Linked DNA regions of Schizosaccharomyces pombe. Changing the gene in region 2 together with the main gene of any one other region gives a genetic interaction. Each region holds a gene or a part of one and is shown on either strand. Other genes may lie near its edges.

Evidence for each region.
Region 1: mutations in SPOM_SPAC3H1.08C (region 2) and irs4 together harm fitness more than expected from each alone (negative genetic interaction), as found in Schizosaccharomyces pombe (one large-scale study listed by BioGRID).

What each region holds. Positions count from the first base shown.
Region 1 is NC_003424.3:913,103-920,569, reverse strand, and holds irs4 (ENTH/VHS domain protein), read right to left. Parts: upstream 5,609-7,467; 5' UTR 5,479-5,608; coding exon 1,339-5,478; 3' UTR 795-1,338; downstream 1-794. Other genes in the region: protein mcp1, read right to left, coding at 1-597; SPOM_SPAC1687.08 (uncharacterized protein), read right to left, coding at 5,952-6,242; SPOM_SPAC1687.07 (uncharacterized protein), read right to left, coding at 6,539-6,913.
Region 2 is NC_003424.3:1,944,883-1,948,301, reverse strand, and holds SPOM_SPAC3H1.08C (uncharacterized protein), read left to right. Parts: upstream 1-2,051; 5' UTR 2,052-2,200; coding exon 2,201-2,409; exon of another isoform or gene 2,410-2,449; coding exon 2,450-2,876; 3' UTR 2,877-2,909; downstream 2,910-3,419. Other genes in the region: vacuolar amino acid transmembrane transporter Avt3, read left to right, coding at 1-256, 321-507, 548-1,242, 1,291-1,483; arginase Aru1, read right to left, coding at 3,100-3,419.

The DNA.
Region 1 (7,467 bases), 1.0 Mb from region 2:
ATGCTTTATTCCGTTTTTGGACAAATCATCAGCGGGCATGCTAAGTTTTATAGACAAAGAATCCTGCAGTTTTTTTAATTCCTCTTTAATTTCAATGTTTTTTTCTTTCCTAAGTCTGTATATCTGATGAAGTTCATTTAATTTTGCTGACAACTGCTCAAGCTTTATATCCGATATGTCCTCAAAATCACCGTTCACAAAATTCACCTCATCAACTGATTCACCAAGGATTACAGATAACCTTTCAATTTCTTTGTACATATTTTTTGCTTCATTTTTCTTCGTGTTATAGATTGCTCGAATACCATTATGGTAAGTTACCAGGCATTCATATTGGTCAATTAGAGTGCGCGGTATTTCGATTTCTTCGATGATGCCCAGTCTTTTTCTTAAAAGAGATATCTCAGAAGATAATTCATTGCATTTTGACTCAATATTTATAATTTTGATCTCCAATTTTCTTTGGTGTCCTGACAAAGCGTCCAAGATGATATTGTTAAAACTGATCTTTGTAAACGAATACCCAAGTTTTTCGGAAAGTGTATAAATATTATTGTAATAATTGTTAAGCCTGTCTCCAATTTTAGCTAACTCCATAATATCTTATGATTTTAACATTAAAAACAGAAGTTCGGCATCATGGCCTTGGAGAACTTGGTTTATTTACCTCTAAACTTAAGGATCGAAAGTGAGTCACAACACATTATGGATTGGGACAAGTTCATACTAGCAAGATTGTTTAATAAAGAAGTCATGTCTTTTTAAAAAAAAAATCTACATCGAACAGTATTTTGGCTAGTTTTAATTGCTAAACCTTTGTGTTGGCTTATTATAGTTAAAAAATGCTAATTAAAGGATATAAATAATACTTGAAAAATTTTATAACAAACAAGCAAATGGTATCCAAGGAATTCGTTAAGCGTAAATCTAACCTATGCTTCAGTAATTAATCAAGTAATAAAAAGGGTAATGCATAAAAAAATGTAAAAATGAATAATAAAAGTTTTGCAAAATGAAAAGTTATGATGTAAAAATAAAGTCCTTCTTTTCGCTTAAAAAGGTCGCTTCGGTTGTGAAATATCTGCAAATTGAGTAAAACAATCGACAGCTTAAATAGATCAGAAAGTACTATCATTAACGATTAACAAAAGCAAACTAACAACTGATTGAAAACGTGGTTCGCAAAAATAGCGAAAGCTTTACGAAAACAGGTTCACAACGGAGTGTTTCAAATGAAAAGACCTTAATGAAGTAATACCGAAATGCCATTTTTTAATAAATGTTGATAAGCTTAAAGATATTTCCCGTTAAAAAAAAGAGGACCCGATGTTGATTTCTCTAGTCAGTCATCGCGCCCTCGTTCACCTTTGCTGTTGTATTAAAGTCGAAAAACTTTTTCAAATGTTTTCTCTTTTTCTTCTTTTTTTTGAAGAAAGGTTTTTTATTATCTGTCTTTTTCTGCAGTTTTTCTAATCGCCAAAGCATATCCCCCATACGCTTGCTGCTTAGCCATACAGAGTCTGGTACCTTCAACGGTAACTTGCGGCCTTTCAAATATTGATCGATCAGAAACATACCGACAATAAATTCATCACGCCCCAAGACACCTGTGTGATGTCTATCAACGAGATCGTAAATTTTGGCTAAAACACTCGTTGGAGCACCACTACGAGACCAGAGTTCGCGGACAACAATATTGCAAATCAAATCATTCGGTTTGGAATATTCTGATTTGCTCAGTAAATAACCTTTATTAGCAGCCCACAACCCTTCATAGAGCTTTCTACGATTTTCATCAATAAAGAACTGCGGGAGATCAACAGTTTCGGATTTACGCAAATTGGTTCCACTCTTGTATTTTCCGTCATCACGATGGTAAAAATGTTTATGCTTTTTCTGAGGAACTCGCAATGTATGAGGTGAAGGTTTGGCAATTGATTGCTTCGTTTTTAAAGGAGGTGGGTTTTCATGAACAGCTGGAAAGATTTTGTCTGCTTTCATAGCTGCGCGTACTGCTGACGATGAGCCTGAAACATCACTTGAAGAGGCAAGCAGTTGTGGAGATGGAGAATACTCAGAACCCAATACATCACGCAACTTAAATTTCAATACTTTTGTGGGAACAGCTGAAAAGCTTAAAACCGAACTTTGCGAATCTTTGAGAGAGTTCTCGTCATCGGACATATCACTATCAGTATACTGACCTGAGCCATCAAGTATTCCATCACTGTAATCGTATTTTGAACCGTTAACTTCATCCATGCTGCTACGATTAGCACCATGTGGTACATCTAAAGGAGCGTTTGAAGATCCAAGGTCTTCTTTATCTGAAGGAGCATCATAAAAAACATCTCCTTCAACTTCAGATTCTCCTCGAATTTGACCAAGTGAAACTGAATGACGATGAGGAAGTGAAACTTTTGGCAGCACAGGAGCCAGGACTTGAGGGGTAGGTGCGTGAATGAGTTTATCCTTATTTGCAACTAGAGTGGCAGCACTCAAAGACGCATCATGGGCCTTGGACGAAGAATACGACGTTTCTTCTATGGAGGGTGTAAGTTTTTCGGAAGCAGCCGTAATGGCTGCAGCATGAGCAGCTATTTTCCTATGATGGATGTCAGAAAAAGAATTATGCGAAGGAATGTGCAATGATGACGACGACCATTCCGTTTTATTAGAAGGAATTCGTTTATGAGCAGACCCAAGCAAGTGATCAAGGGCCTGATCATTAGAAAAAGAAGGTGCTTTTTCTTTATTTTTCTGACCAGTTGCAACAATATGAGCGGCCATTGTAGGAATATCATCAGTTTCATTTATAGAGGAATGAATATGCTTTTGGTTAGCATTAGTTAATAACGATTTAATAGAACGGGTAGAAGATGCAGATGAATGGGACAATTTCTTCTTCATAGGCAACATATCCATAGAAGCAGCGGATTGGCTATCACTTAAGGAGGCTTCACGTCTTGAAAAGTCTTTCGCGGCAGCCAAAGCAGCTCCTTGTAAAGCAAAAGGGTATATGTCCGTTCCGCCGATATCGTTTTCAGAATATCCTGAAGGGGGCGTTTGACTTTCAACCTCGTCAGATTGAGGGCTTTCGTCTTCAGCATTATGCCCAAAATAATTCTCAAGGGTAAATGATTTATGTTTTCTCCTTGGTTTCCTGTGTAGATCTGTCTTAGCACAAGTAGAAGCGAGCCTTGCAGCCTTAGAAGTAATATCGAAAAGCACCGAATCAGAATGTTGTGGTGTGCTTAACGCAGAATCTGAAAGGTTTGATTTTGTCTTCATTAGCACAGTTCCAGTCGTATTAAATGCTGGCTGCGCGATTTCAGTATGTTGTTTGCTTTTCGAAGATATGGCATCAGCATGCCGACTAGCAGAAAGTGACGCCAAAGAGCGGTCATTCAAAACTTCCGGGGAATGTTGAACATTTGCAGTCTTCTCTTTAAGGGAGGTACCAGCTTCCTGAAAAGAAAGTTTACTAGAAGCTAAGGAAAGGCTTTTTTTAAGGTTCACTTCTGAAGTCTTTGCGGGTTCGGAAACAGGTACTTGAGCTATACTCGCTAACTGACTTGCTGATTTGGAAATTTCGAATGGGTTGGACGGCGTCATTACTGGAGTAGCAACGCTTCTATTATAAACGCGAGCACCAGCTTCTTTCACAGAAAGCTTACTAGAAGCCAAAGAGAGACTTCTACCAGGACTCAGATCCAAATCGATAGAAGAAGTAGCCTCCGAAAAACGGTCCTTGCTAGCTTGCTGGCTAGCAGAGATTGAAAAGTTAGAAGGAGGATGTGAATCACACATTTCAGAGATATTACTAGATGACTTTGAGGCCGACTCTGTTTGTTGAGACAATGCAGCCCGTTTGCTAGCAGATATTGGTAGTTCGGAAGATGATTGATGAAAATAAGGTAATTGTGTCTTATTCAAAATGGCAGCATTTAAAGCTTGGTGCTCAATAGCTTGCTTGATGGCACCGTTTTTCAGTTTTTCCATATTTGGGTTATAAAATGAGGTTGAAGAAACAGAGGGATCATTAATCATTAAGGACTGAGACTCGACAGCACATTTACTAGCATCATTTTTAAGTTTTTCTACCCCAAGATCTGATACTGATGGTTTTGGAATTGTAGCGTCAGAACTCTTCAACGACAGAGATTCAACAGTCTGTTTACCAGCATCAGTCTTCATTTTCTCTAACATTGGGTCTGAAATCGACGGCTCTAAAAGTTCAGGGCCACTATTCATTAGAGATTGAGATTCAATGGCCTGTTTACTAGCAGTGTTCTTTAATTTCTCAAAAGACGGGTCTGAAATTGAAGCTGTTAGTGGCGGTAAGGGATTGATTTTTGAGCTTTGGGCCATAATAGCCTGTTTGCTGGCGCCATTTCTCATCTTTTCGGACATAGGATTGGGAAGTGGAATTGCTGAAGATAACGGTTCCGCTGATTTAAATGGTTGGGACTCAATAGCTAGTTTGCTAGCTCCATTTTTTAACCTTTCCATAGCAGGATTCGGTATAATATTTGATGAAGGTAGTGGTTCCGAAGCTCTGAAAGGTGGAGATTCAATAGCCTGCTTACTAGCTCCATTTTTTAACTTTTCTGAAGTAAGGATTGGTGAAGATCTTGCTAATGAAAGTGATTCCATGTTTTTGAGAGATTGGGATTCGCTAGCTTGTTTACTGGCACCATTTTTCAGCTTTTCCAAATTCTTATCTGAGGGTTCAGGAGTAGGAGTGAAAAAATCAAACTCTCTTAAAGATTGTGCTTCAGCCGCTTGCTTGCTCGCACTGGTTTTCAATTTCTCTACGGCTGGATTCGAAAATGGAGATACAGAAGGGGAAGGACTGAAAGTCTGTAGTAAAGGAGAGTTGAAGGCCTGTTTACTAGCGGAAAAATGCATACCGGAAGAAGAAAGTGAATTGGATGAAAGAGGTTTGAATTTGTGGTAAGAAGTGGCAATTGCGGCATTCTTTAATGAAAATCGTCGACTTCGAGGATGATGCGGAAAAGATGTACGAGGTGTTGGAACGGTCAACGACCGTTTTCTAGTTGATGTACGTTCATAATAACCACTCTTTTTAGCCGCAATGGCAGCCGCGTTCGAAGCCGCCCCGCCTCTTCTTGAATCCTCGACAAAAATTTGCTTATTCTTTTTGGTGTGATACTTCGAGGATAAAGGACTAGTGGAACTTTGAGAATCATCTTGTTCAGGAAAATCCGCAAAACTCGCTTTGGCAGCAGCTAAGGGATCTAGTGGGTTGGCATCAACATATGGATCTACGGATTTATATATAGCGGAAGGTAAGCTCTTTCTGTGGTTCTGAAATAGGGGAAAGGATCCATTAGAATGCTGAAAAAATGATCTGCTTATGCTTGGAGAAACTGCACGGCGGCTGAGGTTTCTTTCAGAATGCAGTAATGGATGTCTTTTACTATTTCGTAAAGATACGGGATGAATCGCGTCCATCGCAAGGCCTTCTTGTTCTACATCAGGGAATATAATAAATAATGAATGAAGGAGGCGAAATGCTGTCTAAATCGATAAGACCCTCACAGATTGTTCAAAAAAAAGAAAGAGGTTGTGTGTTATGAATTGTAGAAAGAAGGTTACAAAACGACTGCACTGATGGAAGTAGCATACATGTGATTTTTCCTTGCGGGTTACATACCAGATGACGCATTGCTAAATGACTCTGAGTACTGCGCTAAACAATTACCTTAAAACTTTTCACCAGTTTTGTCACTCTTCCTTGCTGCCCCGTATATTGCTTACGCAGTTTCAAAAACAATGTTACCTCTCTTTTAATAAGCTTACTGACTCTTAAAGTATCAATAATAAACTAAACAATAAACGAAATTTCACTTTGATCATTATCAAACATGATAAAACAAAATATTTCTTCAAAATTTTACTCTTCAAGGAATTTGAAAAGCAAATAATTATAAGGCTAGCATCTTTTTGCAATTAACTATTAGCTGTTGATGATACACAAACATTACAACAGAGACAATCAATATTGCAAGGGTGAGCCCGTTTTTTACACGGTTAGCTAATTGAAGCATTACCGTATTGAAAATAGTAACAGCTAGTTCGAATACTAAAAAAATTTTTAGACCAGCCTTACTATCTCGAGAATTGCTGATATATTGCAGCAAATGATCACAAAAGTAACATATAGCAAATAGAACATGGAAAGTACAGCGGATCGTCAGAACATTGAAGATAAACATTTCATTAATTCTTAAGAATTATTGATAGCGTTAGCAGTAATTGAAGATTTGGAAGTCCATGAATCGTAAAAAGTTTGAGAAAGCTTATGACAATGTTATATTTCGTTTCCATAACTAACGAAATAAATCGGTATCCACATGTTTTCGTATCCATGAGTTAACATACCATTCTGGAAAAATAAATAAAAAATAAATTCCGGCCGCCGATGAAGATTTTGAGATATTTTCGGAGACACTAACTAAGATTTTTTAGGACTTTGCGTAATTTTCTGATTTCAGTTGTTGCTTAATGACATTTAAAGTTTTGTAACAGCTTTATTGTCAAGTGGCATGCCGGTAGAGTCAACGTTGTTGTCACTCATGACTTTACGGATATAGATGAGTCTTGCCTGATCAAATGAGCACTGAAGCTGTTTCATCAATCCACGAATTTGTGAAGTAGCGGCTTCGTCCAGGCCGGCCCGAGTGTCCTGAGCTAGAATATTTTGGGCGATATCAAATGAACTGGAGTTAAGCCCATTGTTGAAATCTGCTTCAAAAGAATTTTCAACAGGTGAATATCTGATACTTCGATAGCGAGATATCCAAAATCTTCTAGCAGCAAATGTAATGGCGATAATTATAGCCAAAACAACAGTGACATAAGAAACGATTATATGAAAACTTGCCATATTCGGCTATAAAGACAAATATTTAGATAAGTAAAACACTTGAAAATAATAATGTTAACGTATTCCGTTTAGAAGGAGAAGTCCAAACAGTCTAATTTCAAGTCGACCTGACTCGTTAATATGGATTTTCTTGATAATAGCGAATTTGATATGATAGTAAAAAAGGAAATTATTGTATGGTTAAAACAACATGCAGAGTTTCGTCGGGTTAATGACCACAAGTAGTAAAACAAAAAAAAAAACTTAAGGCTAGGGGTATGCGCTCAAAATCAAATACTGACCATAAACGATTACGCAAGTACTTGATTTTGCAAAATATAATGAAATTAAAGAGATTGAAAACCAATTGAACGACTAGTTGTGCTAATTATGAAGATTCTTTAGGTAGGTAGATGATGAGATAGGTCAGTAAGTGAGGCTTACCAAATCACTTTATTCAGTGCGCAGCAAAGACACAAAGTCAATACTTCTCAGTTATTTAAATGATTTCTAACTTAATAATTGTAATTTCGTATATACAGTAATTAAATTGCTCGATCCGAGATGGTTAACAT
Region 2 (3,419 bases):
TCCTCTCTGTTTACGGTCACTTTGCAGGTGAAGAACTTAGCGAAGAAGATGAAGATGAGGATACAGACGACTTTGCTATGCCTCGAGACGTTAATCCTTCTTTGATTCATTCTACTGTTCCCTCTGAGCAAGAACCTTTGATTTCTCGTCATGGACGTTACAAACTACAGACGCCTGGAAATGCTTCAAACGGAAAAGCTGTACTTCTACTTTTAAAGTCATTTGTTGGTACCGGTGTACTCTTTCTTCCCAAAGCGTAAGTTTTATGGAATTAACGTTTTTTTATTTTATTATTTCCTAGAATATTAACCGATGTCTAGCTTTAAATTAGGTGGATTGGTATTTTCAAGTGCGACCCTTCTTATTGTGGGAGTATTGTCTCATATTTGCTTCTTACTTCTCATTCAGACTCGAATGAAGGTACCTGGAAGTTTTGGTGATATTGGGGGAACTTTATATGGTCCTCATATGCGATTTGCTATTCTTGCTTCTATCGTGGTTTCACAGGTAAGTTTTTAAATTTAAATATTTTACTAAATGCATTAAGATTGGATTTTCGAGTGCTTATATTTCGTTTGTTGCTAGCACATTACAAGCATGTGTAAAAGTTATATCCACTACTCACCGAGAATACCATTTAGCTGTTTTCATTTTTATTCAGTTTTTGGTATTTGTCCCTCTATCGCTCGTTCGCAAGATATCAAAACTTTCTGCTACTGCTTTAATTGCTGATGTTTTTATTTTGCTAGGGATATTATATTTGTATTTCTGGGACGTGATTACGCTAGCCACTAAAGGAATAGCCGATGTTGCAATGTTTAACAAAACTGATTTTAGTTTATTTATTGGTGTTGCCATTTTTACTTACGAAGGAATTTGTTTGATATTGCCTATCCAAGAACAGATGGCTAAACCAAAGAATTTACCTAAGCTCCTCACAGGTGTGATGGCAGCGATCTCTCTCTTGTTTATTTCTATTGGGTTGCTGTCTTACGCTGCTTTTGGTTCAAAGGTCAAAACGGTGGTTATTTTGAATATGCCAGAGAGTACTTTCACCGTTATTATCCAATTCTTGTATGCTATTGCAATTTTGCTTAGTACCCCATTGCAATTGTTTCCTGCAATTGCTATCATTGAACAGGGAATTTTCACTAGAAGCGGTAAAAGAAACAGAAAAATTAAATGGAGGAAGAATTATCTTCGTGTCTTAATTGTTATTCTAGCTATCCTAATATCTTGGGCGTACGTTTTTCCTTTTTTTTTTTATTTCTTCATTTGCTAACAATTTAGTGGATCTTCACGTCTTGATTTATTTGTAAGTATGGTAGGTAGCGTCTGTTGCATACCGCTTATCTATATGTATCCGCCGATGCTACATTATAAGGCTTGTGCAAATAATTGGATTTTACGTACTCTTGATATTTTTATGTTTACTATTGGTGCCTTCGCAATGGCTTTCACTACGTACATGACATTTTTTTAGGATTTTCACTCGTACGATTTTATATTTATAGGTGGTCTCCATTGATCCTTATGCATTTCATATTACTTTTGGAATTTTTTTTTTCAAAATTTTACATATTTCCTCTAGACTTAATTATTAACGGGTTTACACTGCAAACGCTTTTTCAGTGGGACACTAAATAATATTTATTAATTACTATATAAGATACGTCGAATATTTTACAGATACCGAAAACTATTTGAGGCTTAGGATTAAGAAAATCGTATTTTTAACATTGAGAAAGAAGTTTGTTTAATATTGTACATTTTATTTTTACGCAATTTCAGCATCCACAATCTTATTTGTTAGCGTACATTTGGTGCTGGTGTAAATGCTATATTAAAGACTGGCCCGCTAAAATTTAAAGCAAGTTGGTTTACCTTAGTCATAATTTGTGAAGAATAATCATGGAAATAAAACCCAATTTAAATCGTTTAAAAAATTATTATTTAATATACATATATATTTCTTTTATTTTTAGAGACTAAAATATTCATTAGTCCGCCTTATTTTACCATATCAGAAACACCAAAACCTCTAAATTATCACCACCGAACGTAGTAGTATAAAGATTGATTTTCTTCAAATGCAATTGTCTGCTTCTTTAACATAATTTACTTTTTTTGACGTATCTTTTCTCAAATCGCCCATGAATATTGAATCGTTCCTTAGAATTTACAAATAAAAAAGGAACAAATGATTATTCGGAAACAAATTTTCCCATTTCTAAGTCAAAATAGACCTTGGACGATTATTAATAGAATCCAATCCGAAAGATATTCTGCATCTTATGAACCAAGCCCTGAATTGCTTAAACAGTCTTCCAGAAGACTAGAGCAGGCTGGTTATTCTGTAAAAAATGCAGAAACAATTACTAATTTGATGAGGACCATTACTGGAGAGGCGTAAGTAAAAAGTTTAAGAGCTTTCCAACTAACGTTATAGGCTTACAGAGTTAGAGAAAAATATAGGATTTAAAGCTAAGCAGGAATCTGTGTCGTTCCAGCAAAAAAGAACATTTTTACAAATTCGGAAGTATTTGGAGACGATTGAGGAAAATGAATTTGATAAAGTTAGGAAAAGCTCTGATAAACTTATTAACGAAATTGAAAAAACCAAGAGTTCTCTCCGCGAAGACGTTAAAACCGCTTTGTCTGAAGTCAGATTGAATTTAAACCTTGAAAAAGGACGTATGAAAGATGCCGCAACGTCTAGAAACACAAATATTCACGAAAATGAAACGAAAATTCTCAATGAAGTGGATATTTTACACAAAGAAATTAATGACATGAAAATACAAACCAATCAATGGTTCACCGGTTTCGTTGGAGTCGTATCCTCCGTTGTACTGATTATTTTGTTTTACTTTTAGTGATTATCCTTAATAAAAATGTTTACGTGATAATATGCTTTTACTCAACTTCAGTAATCAGATCAAAAAACTTGTTAATACCTAAGTCAATTCTATTTAAACGGTTAAACAATAGTAACGTTATTTATATTTTTTCCCTTAATTCCACATAAAAAGAATGCACTCTTCGTCCCGTCAGCTCATGAAAATCAATATTCGTTTTATATATTGATAAATTGTAATTTTAAAGTAAAGTTTGACCAAGACTAGTACGAACGATAGAGCGGGCCAAGTCCACCGTAGTCTTGGCCTCCTCTTCATTACCAAGTAGTGGATTAACCTCCATAACATCAACAGCAACCAATGTACCGGATTCAGCTACAGCTTCGCAGATGTACATTGCCTCACGGAAAGTCAAACCGCCTGGAACACGGGTACCAGTGGCTGGGGCAACGATGGGATCGCAAGCGTCAACATCGAAGGAAAGATGGACAGGTCGTCTCTTACCAGGATTGATGTGCTCCATCGCCATCTCAACGACACGGCCAATTCCGTATTTGTCGA